Linked DNA regions of Tribolium castaneum. The protein of the gene in region 1 purifies or fractionates together with the protein of each later gene. This does not show direct contact. Links are inferred from orthologs where the notes say so. Each region holds a gene or a part of one and is shown in the gene's direction. Other genes may lie near its edges.

Region 1 (8,858 bases):
ACCCCAAACAGGCCGTGCCAACGGTCGGAAAATAATTGAAGTATTTGATAATCTCCCTCGTCTGTTTCCATCGTTGAAACAAAATTTGCAACAAAACGTAAAACTAACTGACGCGCGTTTTTCTCCTCTGCGAGAGTTGCAAATGAGGCGGCCTTAACTTTGGTTAAAATATCGAAGATTAAATTTATAATATCGCTCGTGTAACTCGTATGAAGTATGGTGGAAATAACGAAATCATTGATCGAGTTTTTGCACTTGGAGTCACATTGTAGGAAATTATTTGTGATGATTTCCGTCAGAAAATGCATCGGGAAGTCTTTGAAGACATCCGAAGGGATTGACGATAATAGACTTGTCCTTTTCGGGGCTAAATCCTCCGATACTTTCAACATTTCCCACACCAACATTACGTGTCTCGCTTTGTATTTTTGTGGTATTTTAGACACATCGACCAACAAATCGAAACTCTCATTGTCGTTTTTGTCCAAATTCTTCATACAAATCGTGACACACTCCCAAAAATCCTCGGAAGGATTTTTAACGAAATATTTCAAAGCTGCGGTAAATAAGTGTTTTTGGACCGAGATGTTACGTTCCGTCTCGAGGTATTTTTTGATTAAGTTTTGGGTGTCTTCAACTGTTGCTACTTGACAAGTTAGGAAAATTGCGTGTTTACGCACCGAAACTGCTCTTGATGATAACTCGTTGATGAAAGCGCTCAACTTGTTTTCCGGGGTGTGGTAAAAGTGGTAATATAGGCACTCTAAAGCCCCACCCAAAAAATCACCTTTGCAGTATGTGATGATAGTAGGGAGAACAAAACCGGTGGCGTATTTCAAACTTGCCGAAACGGCAAATGCTCGGTAGCCTTTCATTCTTTCTTCTTCGCTGCTTTCGTCGATTTTATTGTTAGGAGGGTAAAAAGGTGCAATTATTTGGACGAAGTCCTGCGTTAGCATAAGCGCCGCAAGGAACATGAATAATGTCTCTCGACCATCCTTCACATTTTCGACGCAACGTTTGACTAATCTTTCAGCAAAATGAAATTGTGAATATTTTTTCAGGATATTCACAATTTGCCAGTTTGGTCGTACGGTGCCTAGAATGTGGTCGGCAAACTTTTCGAAATGTTTGTCAACAATTTCTGGTTCATGTTTCAATAACCAGAAATCAATTGTTTCATTGTAAAACGGGTAATCTAGCAGAAAGTAATTTTTTATTGTGTCTTCTCGGAATTGTGACTTTTCTTTCGTACATATGATGGTTTCGTATAAGTGCGACAAAGTTCTCCGTTTTAGATTGAATTCGGTGGTATTCAGTGCCTCGTTTTGTGCCTTACGAAACGATTCTGCCAATCTGGGGTAACTTAAAAAATTAATCTGGTCATTGGGGTGTTTTTTGTTCCAACCAAAAATCCAGCTTATGATTAACAAATCCTCCAAGTGGATTCCTTTCTTCTCGTCCGTCAGTTCGGGCATGAGTTCAATAGTTTTTAATAGAAATATTTTTTTCAAAGGTTCACTCTTGACTTTGTTCTCCCAGTAATTAACCCCTTTGGTTAGTTTCAAAAATTTATACACGTGCTCGTCGGTTAATTTCTTATTGGAGAACAAAAATTCGACATATTTAAGCTCGTAATCGTAACCGAAGTAAGAATTGTGTCCCTTCATGTCCAGAATATTATTTAGCGTGTTGATACATTTCCAGTGGCGTTCTTCAAATTTTTCAATTTTGTACAAATTGCTAAGTTTGTATAGAAAGTTGCGTATGACACTTTCATCGTCATTTCTGTGTCTCTTGCAAAAATATTCCAAAACTTCGGCCAACGCGTGCAAATCATTGTTTATTTTGCACGTTTCAAGGAGCAGACAAGCGAGGTCATCTCGGGACGTAACAGCGGACGTAACATTAATTTTATTTTTAATCCAAGGAATGGAAAGAGAGGGTCTCATAAATTTGACCAAATCTGCTTCCGGGGTACCACTTTTCTTCTTCAGTTCGATCCACTTTTCCCTTTCTTCAACATCCATAAATCGCATCATATCTTCACTGACGTAGTCGGGATAATCGTACAAACTCTTATTATAAACCTCTTTCATTCCTTCCAAAAGCAGTTTGTAATATTTTTTCCCAATTTTTCGCTGCATTTCGTAAGAGGCATAACGCAAGCCTTCGAAAGTTTCGGGCAAACAGTTGAAGAAAAATCTCTTAAAATCGTCTTGACTTAGTGTTTTGATGACTGTTTTCATGCGAAGACACGTACTCAGTGTTTTTGCTTGTGCGATTATTAAATCATTGTAAGTGTTCAACAAGTGTCTGGTGAGTCGTTTACCAATGTTTGCCCGTAATTTGAAAGTTTTCATTAGCTCGAGGAACGTTTTCTTATCTCTTCGTGCAACAAAACTCAAAACTGAGTCATCGTCAATGGAACCGTTCTGTTTCAAATAAAATTGAAACACTTGTGGGTGTTTAAGGTACAATATTTTGAGGTCGCGAGGCGAGAGAACGACGTCTCCGTTTTGCAAAACATTTCGAATTTTTGATTCGCTGCAACCTACCAAAACCTTCGTCGCAATGTGGAACCCATATCGCTTGTAAATATCGTCGTACACATTGTCCATTTTCGTACCGTACAGAGCAAGTTTTGCGATTATTCTCATTCGTATGACGAAAGATGTAAAGGGGAGAATAGTGTTCACAAAATTTGAGCTGTCTTCGTCAAGAATCGATGCCAGTTTTTGGCAAAACCACTTGTTTTTTAATAATTTTGCGGGAAGGAGTTCTTCTTCGCATTTAAGTACTTCGATTAAATGGGGGATACTTTGTAGTCGGATTAAAACTTCCAACTTAAAAAGTTGTTCCAAATGATTTTTGGGAGTTATGGAAGTGATGAGGGCAGACTGATCTGAAGGTAAGTTTCGCAGAAGGATAAAGAGAGACTTCCTTTTTTCACCGATTGTGACACCGGCGAGATTGTGGAAGCGTTGTGTGAACTCCTTTACGTCCATAATATCAACTGGAAAAATGTTAAAAATGCAAGTGGCTAGGCAACCAACTATACACCCAAAATAATTTTGATTTTGATGCCTTATGAAGGTGGGTAGATTGAGATTTAATGAGCATTATTACGTTATCTTAATGATATATAAACAAAATATCATATAGTTGCGAAATAATACAAAAAGGTTTTTGAGGTTAAGCTGAATAAATTGCAACGAATTTCTATCTTGATCAATACAAGTTGGATAAGTTGGATTTACCTTTTTTTGTTGAAAAGTTGCAAAAAACTCAAGTTTCAAAATTACAGCTCACTCCTTATACGCGTACAATGCGATTTTTTTATAAACTTACACCGTATGAGATTAGATTACTCACTTTTTGTGTACATTTGATCAAGGTCGCTTCCTAAATATTTTTCAGGTCGTTCATTAGTCATTCTTTGCAATAAAATTGCGACTAGTTATTGGAAAATACGCAAAAATCAAGTTCTACTTTTTTAGTTTTATCCAACAAACTGTGCCGTAAAAAATTCATTTAAATTCAAAAAAATTTTTGTAAAAAAAATTAAAATCTGAATTGAAAAACAACCGTTTACGAAAATAGATATTAAAATAAGAAATTTGCATACAAGTCAGTATTTGTTGACTTTGATACTTTGATAAATTAAAATAAAAAAGCCACCTCTGACGACATTATGTTCCCAAAAAACAAGAATGGAAAGTTTTAGAAAAGGAATTTGGAAGAAGAAGTCGTACCTATTACATTATTATAAGTGTGGCTTACATAGGAAATGCAAAAATGCATGTCATTGCACGAAGTCAAAACTCTCAATATGTATACATATTAAATAATCTTTACTTTCCTCATCAATCATCATTATGTTACTGGCTTTTGGGTTTTTACACTACCATGAGGTTACTCATCGTTGAGTGCAATGGTCGGAGTGTCATCGCTCCAACAGATGAATGAATTTTGAATTATGGTTAAATAATTATTTATGATAACAAGAACAAGGAATGTTAAAAAAAACAAACCGAAAGGTAGGTATTTAAAAAAATGTAGGTAACTAAACATACCTATAGGTAGGTAAATAAAAATATAAAAAAAAATAACAACTAACTGAAAACATCGGCATATCTTATTATTAATTATTTATGAGGTATTTGTTTATGTAATTTCAGTCAATTTTGAATGATTTAGCCAGTGATTGGGCCAAAAACTTGCTTATTTAAATTTAGCCGGAGAAAAAAGCCGAATTCGGTCTAACAATGTGATTTAAATAATCTCCTTAATTGTTTTTTTTTTGGCCACCGAAATGTTTGCAACGGAAAGAATGGCCCGTAGGCTATTCCCGACCACAAGAATTTGTAACAAATACTATAATACGCATTTTTGGATACGCTACATAAAAACCTATCTTATTGGGAAATAAACGAATTTCGAGCTAGAAAACAGTGTTTGTATTCAAACTTAGCAACCAGCATGTCCCTCCCTACCTCCCTCATCGATTTTCCCTGCATAGTCTGACAAAGCAATCTTCATTAATCCAAAACAAAAAATAAAATGGAATTGGAATTATCACGAGTCGATTATACTATTGTGGGCATTACGTCTCAAAACTGCCTCAAACTCCTGCCACCAAGCGCGTCGAAAGAACCCCAAAAGGTAAGCTACTTCAACCCGGCCATAAATAACCCAAATTAAAGGTTGCAGTAGCTGACAGTGACGGAATTTTACAAATATTCTCAGTCAAGAAAGAGGATATTCAATTACATTTTAAAACATTGCCAGGACCTAAAATATCGTCCTTGCAACTAGGTGGCGCTCACGGTAACTATCCTTCTAAACCGCAACGTGGTCATTAATTTACTTCAAGGGAGCTCAAGCGATAAAATATTTATTGCTGCGGAAAATGAAATAAGGGGGTACACCAAAAAAGGGAAACTGTTTCTGACTTTTGACCCAGGAATGACTGAACCCGTCTCGTCAATGTTAGGACTCGTATATACAGTTAAAATAATTTGTCCCTAATAAAATGCTGTAGGTTTGTTTTGGGCAACGATTTATTTTTGTGCGGCAAACACATCTACAATCACTTCAGGGATTGTAAAGATGTGGGTTCGTATTTATGTGGTGATCAAATCGTCGACGTAATCGCGTTTTATGCTGACAAGGTATAAAAATTATTCTGAATTGCAATAAATAACAAAGGTTCAGACTCGTAGGCTTATGTCCTTGATTGCGTGTGAAGGACGAATGATACGAGCCTTGGAACATGCAAGGGTCACTCTGAGTATGGAGGTTGAGAGTGCACCAACTCTTCTTCATGTCCTTGAACAGGATGGTACCAAGACAGTGCTGTTTGGTACCGTGGACGGCCGAATTGGGATTCTAGACGTGGAAAAGTAAATAAAAAATCGAATTGATTTATAGTTAATTTTTCGTAAATAGATTGCACGGCTTTGACCGCTGGCTTATCGACAATTCCTCAAACTCGAGTACCATCTCGTGCGTGGACTCTTACGACATGACCAGCAGCGGTACCAAAAACCTGATTTTAGGGCGCCAAGATGGCACCATTGAAGTATACGTTATCAATGTAAATGATAATTTAGACGCCCCAATCCTGATTTATTCCCATGTGAGTACTACCGACCTTGGTCGATTCATCGACCCAGCTCACGCAGACAAAAACCGATTAATAAGACTTCCAACCGGTTCTATATGATCAAGATCAATGTCACTATCACTTTTTCCTGCAGAATTGCAACGAAAGTGTTTCATCATTGCAATGTGGGGTCATCGGAACCCAAGGTTTCGACGAAGTGTTGGTGGTGACCTACACTGGCCGAATTTTCGGCCTCACCACGGAGGCAGTTGACAAAAGCGTAGCTGACAACACCATGGGCAATTACATTTTTTCGCAAGATACGGGGAACAAAATCAACAAATTGAAGTAAATTTGGTCAAAAACCCCGTTCGGAATTTTTATCCCTCTTTGCAGGAGCGAAATTGAGGACTTGCAAGTCAAAGTGGCCAAAGAACGAGAGAAATATCAAAACTCGACCCAATCTTTCTTCGAGGAGTTGTCGGCAATTCCCTTGCTTTCAGTCAAAGATTCAGTTAGGTGACGCAGTGGGAAAATTTTCGCTCAAGCTTTGATTTCCAGTTCGTGTTATCTAAAGACACAGCGACTTATACCTTGACTTTAGAGGTTCCAACGGCTATCGACAATATTCTCCTGCAAAGCAACGTCGCTATCGACTTGCTAGACGTGGAGAAAAATTCGGCCGTGATCAGTTACAGCGATGCGGATCACGCCGTGAGTTAATAAACTCTAAATGTCTGTTTGTTTACAAGCTGAAATAATACAGATCGGAAATTTTTTACTGGCCACTTACCGGTGTCAGGTCAATACCAACCGGCTCGAAATTAAAATTAGAACCATTGAGGGTCAACACGGTCTTCTCCACGCTTATGTCACGCCTCTGGTCCAACCAAAATGTAGCAGGCTTATACAGTTCGAAATTAAACCGCTTTCTTTGCATTACAGGATTCACAAATTTGACGAGAGTCGATTGTTTAACACTTTGACAATCACCGGTACTTTCAGTTTGGCCGAAATGCACACTTGGGTGTCGCAAAGTTTGCCCGAAGTACCCGAAAAGCCCCAATTTGGGGAAAATACGGTGCTGTATTTCCAGTCGACTTTTTTCGGAACCATCTTACAGTGCTCCTACCAGTAAATAGTACCAAGTTTTGAGTACCTAGTGACTGACTTGACTTTTAGGAAAGGAGAAGCGTTCTTTAAATCTGATAACGTGTCAACAATCTCTATTTTGAAAGAATTTCTAACGGTGGAAGCCACAAAGAAAAAAATTAAAATTAGCATTAGCTCAAGTTAGTTACAATAATTATTATTAACAACGGTACTACTTTGGGGTTCTAGATATCAACGATGAAAGTATTAATCATGTAATTAAGCTGATCGAACCAAAGTTAATTAAGCAGAAGGATTTGAATAACGATATTAAGTTGTTGAACGCTTTGAATGAGTTAGAAGTGACAGAAGAAGAAAACAGGACTTGTTTGTCGGAAAAGTACCGAAATTTGTTGGCTAATGAAAAAGAACTAAGGAAGGAGTTTCAGAGCCAACCTGATTATTTAGATCGTCTTTATGGTACTAAAATTGACTCGATACACTAACAGTAATTGATTTGATTTTTCCAGGTATTGTTACTGACTTATACATTGATTACAACAAGTTCAAGGGGTGCAACGTAAAATCGAAATTAGCGACTCTCCGGGAGATCCTTGATGAGTACTCTTATGATGCCTTGATACAATTTTTCCGCCCAGAATTGTCTAAATAGCATTGGAAAATATTATGATTACTCAGTCGAATGTGCATTTTCAATGTCGTTGTTTCTGTTTATTTAAATAAAAATTTGCTTAGTGGCTAGTTTTTTACTATGGTACCCGACAACTTAAAAACTGTTTTAAATTTTTAATTGGTTTGAGTGAGTGGTTGTGTGTTGCGGAATTTTTTAACTGCATGTAGTCTAAAGGTGAATAATTTTAATTTTTAATTTCCAAACAATCTGCTTTTTGTCTCTAAAGAAATTCTCGAATAAAACTCTTAATGGAAACTTTAGCGGACACAATAATGAATAATTCACACAGAACCAGAAACTTTACCGCAAAATAAAATTCTTTCCCTTTTTTATTGAAAATTTAAAAAACGAAACCTTGGATTTAAACACATGTGTAACACGGACTATTTCTTCAAATATTTCAGTTCGGGTACACGAAAAATATCTTAGCATCATTATGCTTATTTGTTTTTTCTGATGTGATAAAAATTCTAAAGCTTTCAGGCAATGTGATCACTCGAGATAGCAAAATTTTTCTGTTACTACCTCATGTTAATGCCAATGAGTTGTCAAATTTTTAATTCAGTTAAAACAATAATTATTATTATTAAAATGACGAGCTCTTATCAGCTACAATTTGAAAATTTTGGGTCATTACCTATCAAAACACAAATGTAATTAGTGAACGACACAAGTAGTACAAACGGTGGAATCCCAGTGCATAATTATGGTATCTCGTTGATAAAAATTCCGGTGTTTTGAGTCCGTTGAAAAAATTCCATACCCCGCGAATGGGGCTTGCGACTGAAACCAGTCCAAAAACTTGGGTCAATGCGCTACCCTCAAGATTAGCTATATACCTGCGAAAAACGCGAAAAAATGTGGTATTAATAATCCCTTTCAGGAACAAACAAGTCCATCTCAACAAGTGCCCAGTGCTAGTTTTTCACCACTTTACGAAGAGCTGGTTATTCTCAAGGTGACTCTAGGTACGTACAAATTTACTTAATTAACTGAATCTTGTCCAATAAACCCGGCGTTCTGAAAAATCCACCAACAATTTCCACTTCCACCATTAGCGTTGTTTTTTCCAGCTGAAGTGACCTTCCCGTCTGAAATTCGTCAGTCTCTAGTCCTTTATAGCGAAGCGTTGCTGAAGCTTTTCGTCCATTTGCAAGAATTATGTCACAATGATCGGATACAAAGCTCTAGTTTTGTGCGTTTTCTTCAACTTGGCCCGAGCTGTCCAATTCGGAAGCGTGCCTCTGGAAGAAGTTTTGCACATTTTGGTACCGACGCTCAATTCGGACAACCCCCAGTGCCGAAATGACACGATTTTTTACGTCGAAGAGTTGAAAAAATTGAGACTGTGGGCGACGGAAAGTAGGTTTTTCGTGTCGGTGGTGCTCCAGTGTTTAATACATCATTTTTAACAGTGTTTGATGCTTCGTCCAAATTCCCCACCGGCCTTTTGTCGGGCTCGAC
Region 2 (7,821 bases), on another chromosome or scaffold:
TTTATACAGCCTTGTTTTTTTAGGTTCTTTAGTCTTTATCTATATACAATTCTCTTGTCATTTACAGTAATATTGAAAACCATTTAAGTCAATGCGACTAAAGTTATTTAAAAAACAGATAAAGTTAAAATAATTATCACTTTAGTAATTGTCCATTTGCTGTTTTGTTTTTTATTTTTTTGTTATTTTTTCTAATATTAATGTTTTTTACTTTGCTTCTATATTATTAAGAATACTAGGTATAGGTACTTTTTTCACATTACTTTAAAGAAATTATAAAAAATATATAATTTTTTTTTATTCTGTATATGATTTTTTAGGTAGTCTTGGGATTTTATTTCATACTTTATGTTTTGTTTTCTTTTGAGAGAGGATAAGTTGAATGGCATTGCTGGACCTTGGCTCTTTACATTATTTTTTTTCTTCTTTAATAAAAGCCTTTTTTATTATTATTATTATTATTATTATTATTATTATTATTATTATTATTATTATTATTATTTTATTATTATTATTATTACTATTATTATTATTATTATTATTATTATTAAATATGCATGAAAGTATGTACTCGTAAATTATTGGATCTTTAAATAAAACAAAATTATTTGCCAAAGTTTTGTCGGCAAATTATATTTTTCCAGTTTGGCAGCAAAAAAAACGACCATTATCTTCTTGGAATGTCATCTGAAATAAGCAGAAAAATTACTAAGTTGCATTGAAACTAACATTAAATTTTATTTTTTTAGATTTTCCCAGTACCTTATTACTTTTATCAGTCAGAAAAACAATTCTAAGCTAAGAAAACACAAAAATAGATCGAAAATTATGTAATCTTTCTCTTATTCTGGATTTTCAGCACGTTTTTGAGCTGATCATTTATTTTTCTTGAAGGTTTACCTAATCTGTAAATCTGTTTACTATGTTAACTTAAAAAATCTGAGCCTTTGGCTTGGCTTTTTTCATCGGAAACGCTTAAATACGCCGAAAAATCAGTCAGAAAAGCGTGGAATTTCGCCAAAAATAAACCAAAAATCACAAATTTGGTCACAAAAAACGTGAAGTTTGCTTTTTTCGTACGTTTAAAAGCAGAAATACTTTCAGGTATTTTCGATTTGAAAGTGGCGTTATTTTTGCCTTTAATCAGATTTTATTAACAAAACTCTCGATTTTTTTTTCAATTAAACTTTGTCCAAGTATTCAATTGCTTGTCGCAGTGTTTGATTTCCTGATTTCCACAGCCAGTAAACCCTTATCCAAAAAAAAAATGGTCTCTGGATTATTTTTTCTATAAGCACATTCCTAGTCATGACTTTTCTATCACAAAGGCCAATGTCTGATGAGACTCGGCGAAACAGCCAAATCAAAGGAATACGCACACAAAGCTGTCCAATTGGGGAAACACGAAGCCGCTTATTCGCTCCTCATCAAAATACTTACATCAGAAGGTGATCTACGAAGCGCCATTTCAGTGTGTAACGCTGCAATCGAGTGAGTAAAAAATTACACAAGATTTGTTGTTAAAAAAAGCCTTTGCGCGTTTGATTTGAATTTATATGGCGTACTTTTGAAGTCGTGAAAGAGGAAAATTCAAACGAGGCAGCGATGATGCATACATATTTTATGAATTTATTCGACTTCCGTTTCATGTCGCAGTTTCGCGTCTGCACATTTAACTTGACACCGTGTAGAAAACGCACTTTTTGCGTAGGTAAACATCGGAATTTTCTCGAATTAGGCGCAGACAGTAAAATTTATTTCCAGAATTCCACCTCTTATTTGCTTATGATAACAGGCGTTTCTCCGCCTGATCATAAAAATATCGGTTTTCAATCAATGTAAGACGTTCGAAAAGTTTCCCAATAACGGCATGAATACATTACGGCATAATGAGCATCCTGAATTTGATATTAAAAAAACGCACTTTCTAGATCCTGCCCAGACAGTGTTAACTTGCTGACTGAAACAGGCCTTTTGTGTCTGAAGTTGGGGCAGACACAGTTTGCATTCGAGCGATTGAGTTCCGCTCTAGCTCTAGATCCGGTTTGTGCAAAAGCTCTACTTGGGATCGGATGCATCACTCAAGTAATACATCTCCAAATTGCGGAAACAGTTTTATTGGATGATTTGTTTCAGTCGCACGATGAGCACGATGTCGCTTTGACCAAATACAAAGTGGCTGTTTCGTACGAGCCGAATTCGGTGGCGCTTTGGAATAACATTGGACTGTGTTTCTACTCTAAACAAAAATATGTGGCGGTAGGTGAATGGGTCCAGGGGAAAAACCCATGAAATTTTATTGTATTATTTTTTTAACACAGAGTTGTCCAATTTTTAATTTATTTGAGATCATCAGTATCAATAATTCAACATTAAACTGCTACAGGGGCGTTACTTTGAATGGCGGACTCAAAAATCTAGAAAAATTTAAAACTGTAGCCTAATTAGAAAAACGTGCTTTAGGGGTAGATATTTGATCATTGATATACTTAGGTAAAAAATAATTGGACTTTTCGTAATCTATTTTTCTCAAAAAAAATTGTTTTCCGATTAATAGTTTTTGAGAAAACTGCAAACAATGCAATAATTATAAAAAAAAATTGTAACTTAAAAACCATCGAAAATTTGGCAATTTTTTTGACGCCAATCCATTTCCCGGATTATTTTACGTTGGTTTACATTAAAAAAGTTCCACTTTTTCGAATGGTTTTGCTGTAATCGACGTTTGAAAAGTGATTGTGTGAATATTTCAACATGTTTTTTGACATTCATTGGGCAATAACTTTGGAACTAATAGACATAACCCTATTATGTTTATTATCGTTGGAAAGCTCTTTTGATTTACAATTCTTTCCAAAAAAGATCATTGTTCTGCGATGAATAGTTTTTGCGAAAATTGCAAACAAAGCAAAAATTAAAAAAAAAATCACAACTTAAAAACCATTGAGAATTTGCCAATTTTCTCGACGCCAATGGATTTGCCAGATCATTTTACATAAGTTTAAATTAAAATAGTTCTACTTTTTTGAATATTTTTTTTGTAATCGGCGTTTGAAAAGTGATTGTGTGAATATTTCAACATGTTTTTGATATTCATCGGGCAATAACTTTGGAACAATAGACATAACCTTATTATGTTTATTATCGTTAGAAAGCTCTTTTAATATTCTATTTTTTTCAAAAAAAAATCATTGTTTTGCGATGAATAGTTTTTGTAAAAATTGCAAATAAAGCAAAAATTAAAAAAAATCACAACTTAAAAACCATTAAGAATTTGTCAATTTTCTCGACGCCAATCGATTTCTCAGATCATTTTACATACGTTTATGTTAAAATAGTTTCACTTTTTTGAATAGCTTTGCTGTAATCGACATTTGAAAAGTACTTGTGTGAATATTTCAACATGTTTTCGACATTCTTCCGGCAAGAACTCCTGAACTAATAGACATAACCCTATTATGTTTATTATCGCTGGAAAGCTCTTTTGATATTGTATTCTTCTCAAAAAAGATCATTGTTTTCCAATTAATAGTTTTTACAAAAATTGCAAATAAAGCAAAAATTTAAAAAAAATCACAACTTTAAAACCATTGAGAATTTGTCAATTTTCTCGACGCCAATCGATTTCCCAGATCATTTTACATACATTTGTGTTAAAATAGTTCCACTTTTTCAAATAGCTTTGCTGTAATCGACATTCGAAAAGTACTTGTGTGAATATTTCAACATGTTTTCGACATTCATCCAGCAATAACTTCGGAACTAATAGACATAACCCTATTATGTTTATTATCGCTGGAAAGCTTTTTTGATATTGTATTCTTTTCAAAAAAAATTATTGTTCTCCGATAAATAGTTTTTGCGAAAATTGCAAACAAAGCAAAGATTAAAAAAAAATCACAACTTTAAAACCATTAAGAATTTGTCAATTTTTTCGACTCCAATCGATTTCTCAGATCATTTTACATACGTTTATGTTAAAATAGTTTCACTTTTTCGAATAGCTTTGCTGTAATCGACATTTGAAAAGTACTTGTGTGAATATTTCAACATGTTTTCGACATTCTTCCGGCAATAACTCCTGAACTAATAGACATAACCCTATTATGTTTATTATCGCTGAAAAGCTCTTTTGATATTGTATTCTTCTCAAAAAAAAATATTGTTCTCCGATAAATAGTTTTTGCGAAAATTGCAAACAAAGCAAAGATTAAAAAAAAATCACAACTTTAAAACCATTAAGAATTTGTCAATTTTCTCGACGTCAATCGATTTCCCAGATCATTTTACATACATTTGTGTTAAAATAGATCCACTTTTTCAAATAGCTTTGCTGTAATCGACATTCGAAAAGTACTTGTGTGAATATTTCAACATATTTTCGACATTCATCCAGCAATAACTTCGGAACTAATAGACATAACCCTATTATGTTTATTATCGCTGGAAAGCTCTTTTGATATTGTATTCTTCTCAAAAAAAATCATTGTTCTCCGATAAATAGTTTTTGCGAAAATTGCAAACAAAGCAAAGATTAAAAAAAAATCACAACTTTAAAACCATTAAGAATTTGTCAATTTTCTCGACGCCAATCGATTTCTCAGATCATTTTACATACATTTGTGTTAAAATAGTTCCACTTTTTCAAATAGCTTTGCTGTAATCGACATTCGAAAAGTACTTGTGTGAATATTTCAACATGTTTTCGACATTCTTGCGGCAATAACTCCTGAACTAATAGACATAACCCTATTATGTTTATTATCGCTGGAAAGCTCTTTTGATATTGTATTCTTCTCAAAAAAAATCATTGTTCTCCGATAAATAGTTTTTGCGAAAATTGGAAACAAAGCAAAAATTAAAAAAAAATTACAACTTAAAAACCATTGAGAATTTGTCAATTTTCTCAACGCCAATGGATTTCCCAGATCATTTTACATAAGTTTTAATTAAAATAGTTCCACTTTTTCGAATGGTTTTGCTGTAATCGGTGTTTGAAAAGTGATTTTGTGAATATTTCAACATGCTTTTGACATTCATCCGGCAATAACTTCGGAACTAATAGACATAACTTTATTATGTTTATTATCGTTGGAAAGCTCTTTTGATATTCTATTCTTTTTAAAAAAGATTATTGTTCTCCGATTAATAGTTTTTGCGAAAATTGCAAACAAAGCAAAAATTAAAAAAAAATTACGACTTGAAAACCATTGAGAATTTGTCAATTTTCTCGACACCAGTCGATTTCCCAGATAATTTTACATAAGTTTATATTAAAATAGCTCAACTTTTTCGAATAGTTATGCCGTAATCAACGTTTGAACAGTGAATATTTTTGACATTTATCGGTCAATAACGCCGGAACTATTAGACGTAACCCCCTTAAGTCTATTATCGTTGAAAAAAAACTTTGTACTCTGATTAATACTTTTCGAAAAAATTGCAAACAAATACAAAAATTAAAGTGCAGTTTTCAACTCTCCGTTATGATTAAACTGGAATTGTGTTCGTTGATTTTTTTCCAAGCAGTCACCGTGGTTTTTAAGCCTTCTGTAATAATGGCTCCATCTGGAACGTTCTGATTCTTTTAATAATCCTTACCTACACTGCATCTGCCTACTTATTGGTATTTATAGCCGCGGAAATAAGTGTGTGCCTTTGGTAAAAAGTTGCAGCTTTTGTCGGTGGGTTTTTTCCTTTGTGCGCCCACTCCCAAATTTATTTTATATCCTTCGTTTAAATTTACATAGTCGGTTGTTTGTTGCAGGCAATAAGCTGCTTGAAGCGGGCCTTATGGATATCGCCAACAAACTGGCGAGTGCTTTTTAACTTGGGTTTAGTTCATCTTGCCACTTATCAGCCCGCATCTGCGTTTAACTTCTTATGTGCTGCTGTCAATCTGCGGCCAGACGTGCCTCATTCCTTCACAGGATTAGGATGTAAATTTGTAGCGGGAAGTTTCCTTCCTGCCAAAAATTGCTCAATTTTTAGGTGCCTTATTTGAATTGAACGATGGAGAGAACGCAGAAAGGGCCTTCAAGCAGGCGATGGCTCTGGCTCCGGACGATCCGGTCATTGTTGTTAATAATGTCGTTTGTTTGGCGGGGATGGACCGGAAGGAGGAGGCAAAGGATTTGTTTCAGAAATTTAACAGTTTGCTGCAGGATGGGGTTGTTTCGAAGGAGGTAGGCTAAGGAGGCAGTGGCGTAACTCAGTACATTCGGGGCAATTTTAATAAAAAATATTAGCTGTTTTTTTAATATATTACACAAAAACTAAAAATAACGTAAAAAATTGCATTTTAAAGGGGGTATAAAAAGTACAGCAAAAAAAATTCGACCTAAAAAAGTATGTAAATTCAAAAACTACAAAAGTCTAAATTTTTCCAAAACTTCGACTTCAAATCAAGCAATAATCATGTATGATGGGAAATTCTTGGCAAGGGTAATATCTACCCTAAATACTTTCAGTGGTGTTTGTTTACCTCATCTTCCCTGAAAGCATTGGAATTTCCAAAATATTTTTCCAAAAATTTGATTTTTTTTAATTAATTTCCGAAATATTTAGCTTTCTTCAATTGCCATTAATTAGTTTTCCACAAAAATTTAAAATTTGAGGTTAGCCATTTCATAAAGGAAAACTTAATTTTTTAACAAAAAAAATCATAACTTAAAAACTAGAAGTCCTAGAGTCAAAAATTTGTTCCAGTAAACTCTAAGGCTCATTTTACGTATTACGCTATTTTTTTTACAACAAAAGCTTACTCTAGAACTCATTTAAAAGCCTACTTTAATTTGAAAAATGGTGGATGCGCCGGGTTATTTATTAAAATGTCATAACTTTAAAACTAAAAATTGTAAAGCAAAACGGTTTATTCCAATAAATTTTGCGTTTAATTCTGTGTATTATACCAACTTTTCACAAAATTTAAAATTTTTGGTCAAATTTTATGCGCAAAAATTTTAAGTTACGCCACTGGCGTAGTTTGATCCGGAGGGAGTTTAAAGTGTGTTTTAGGTCGTGGCCATCGCCGAGAAATTGGCAACGGTGTTTGAGGTGGATGGAAATGACGAAAGTTATAAAAATGAAGAGAGTAAAGACGTTATAAATAAAAGTATCAACGAAACGGATGAACTTGCCAGTGGTGACTTATCGCCCAGGGAACTTGCAGCTGATGAAGTGTAGACATAATGTATACAGAGTGTGCATTACTTATAGAACCCGAATAAATTTGTCCTAGATTTTATCCGAGCCATATTTTAAAAAATATCACTTGGTTGTGACACCTTGACAGGCCTCATCTTTATTAATTTGCGCAAGAAATTGAATAAAATTTAGGTCACGCTAAAATCAAATATTGATTTTGTAATTTAAATTCGAAAAAATGTAATAGAACCTTATACTTTATTCACACACAAGTTGTAATAAAATTCCGAAATAAAATAAAGTTTTTTTTGTTGCATGAATTATTTAATATTTTTATTTGGAGCATGTTTGGTTCTTTTCAAAAACAATGACTCAGGTAAGTGGCTAGACTAGTAAATTTTTGTTGGTCTTTTGCCAAACTTCTGTTAACAGAACGCATCTGTAATTTGGAATTAATTTTTCGTAATCACAGTGAAACAATTGTTATAATAATAAACATTGTCAAGTCCAGCGAAACTCTACTGTATTTTTTAACAACTAATTAAATAATTTCAAGTAAAACGGTTTGTTTTTTCAAAGCAAACGCTTCATGTTGATGAAAAATGTCGTCAATCTCTCTTATTCAATACAACGCAATTTTACTATTCTCGGAAATAACAATTCACATTTGATTTA

What was found. Proteins that work in one complex are often made in the same cells at the same time.
Region 2: the proteins of Bardet-Biedl syndrome 7 protein homolog (region 1) and BBS4 purify together in Homo sapiens (co-immunoprecipitation; 7 studies listed by BioGRID and IntAct, counting the BioPlex papers as one, with this or other methods). This does not show direct contact. The link is inferred for Tribolium castaneum from reciprocal best matches to the Homo sapiens genes BBS7 and BBS4.

The regions. Positions count from the first base shown.
Region 1 is NC_087402.1:9,075,814-9,084,671, reverse strand, and holds Bardet-Biedl syndrome 7 protein homolog, read left to right. Parts: upstream 1-4,475; 5' UTR 4,476-4,563; coding exon 4,564-4,665; intron 4,666-4,706; coding exon 4,707-4,830; intron 4,831-4,876; coding exon 4,877-4,991; intron 4,992-5,044; coding exon 5,045-5,174; intron 5,175-5,217; coding exon 5,218-5,405; intron 5,406-5,451; coding exon 5,452-5,641; intron 5,642-5,762; coding exon 5,763-5,956; intron 5,957-6,004; coding exon 6,005-6,122; intron 6,123-6,169; coding exon 6,170-6,322; intron 6,323-6,374; coding exon 6,375-6,742; intron 6,743-6,790; coding exon 6,791-6,900; intron 6,901-6,949; coding exon 6,950-7,180; intron 7,181-7,230; coding exon 7,231-7,373; 3' UTR 7,374-7,458; downstream 7,459-8,858. Other genes in the region: uncharacterized protein LOC107397770, read right to left, coding at 1-3,008; nose resistant to fluoxetine protein 6, read left to right, coding at 8,564-8,756, 8,810-8,858.
Region 2 is NC_087396.1:20,708,968-20,716,788, reverse strand, and holds the end of BBS4 (Bardet-Biedl syndrome 4 protein), read left to right. Parts: intron 1-1,328; coding exon 1,329-1,491; intron 1,492-1,931; coding exon 1,932-2,085; intron 2,086-2,136; coding exon 2,137-2,259; intron 2,260-5,767; coding exon 5,768-5,939; intron 5,940-5,991; coding exon 5,992-6,185; intron 6,186-7,017; coding exon 7,018-7,185; 3' UTR 7,186-7,466; downstream 7,467-7,821.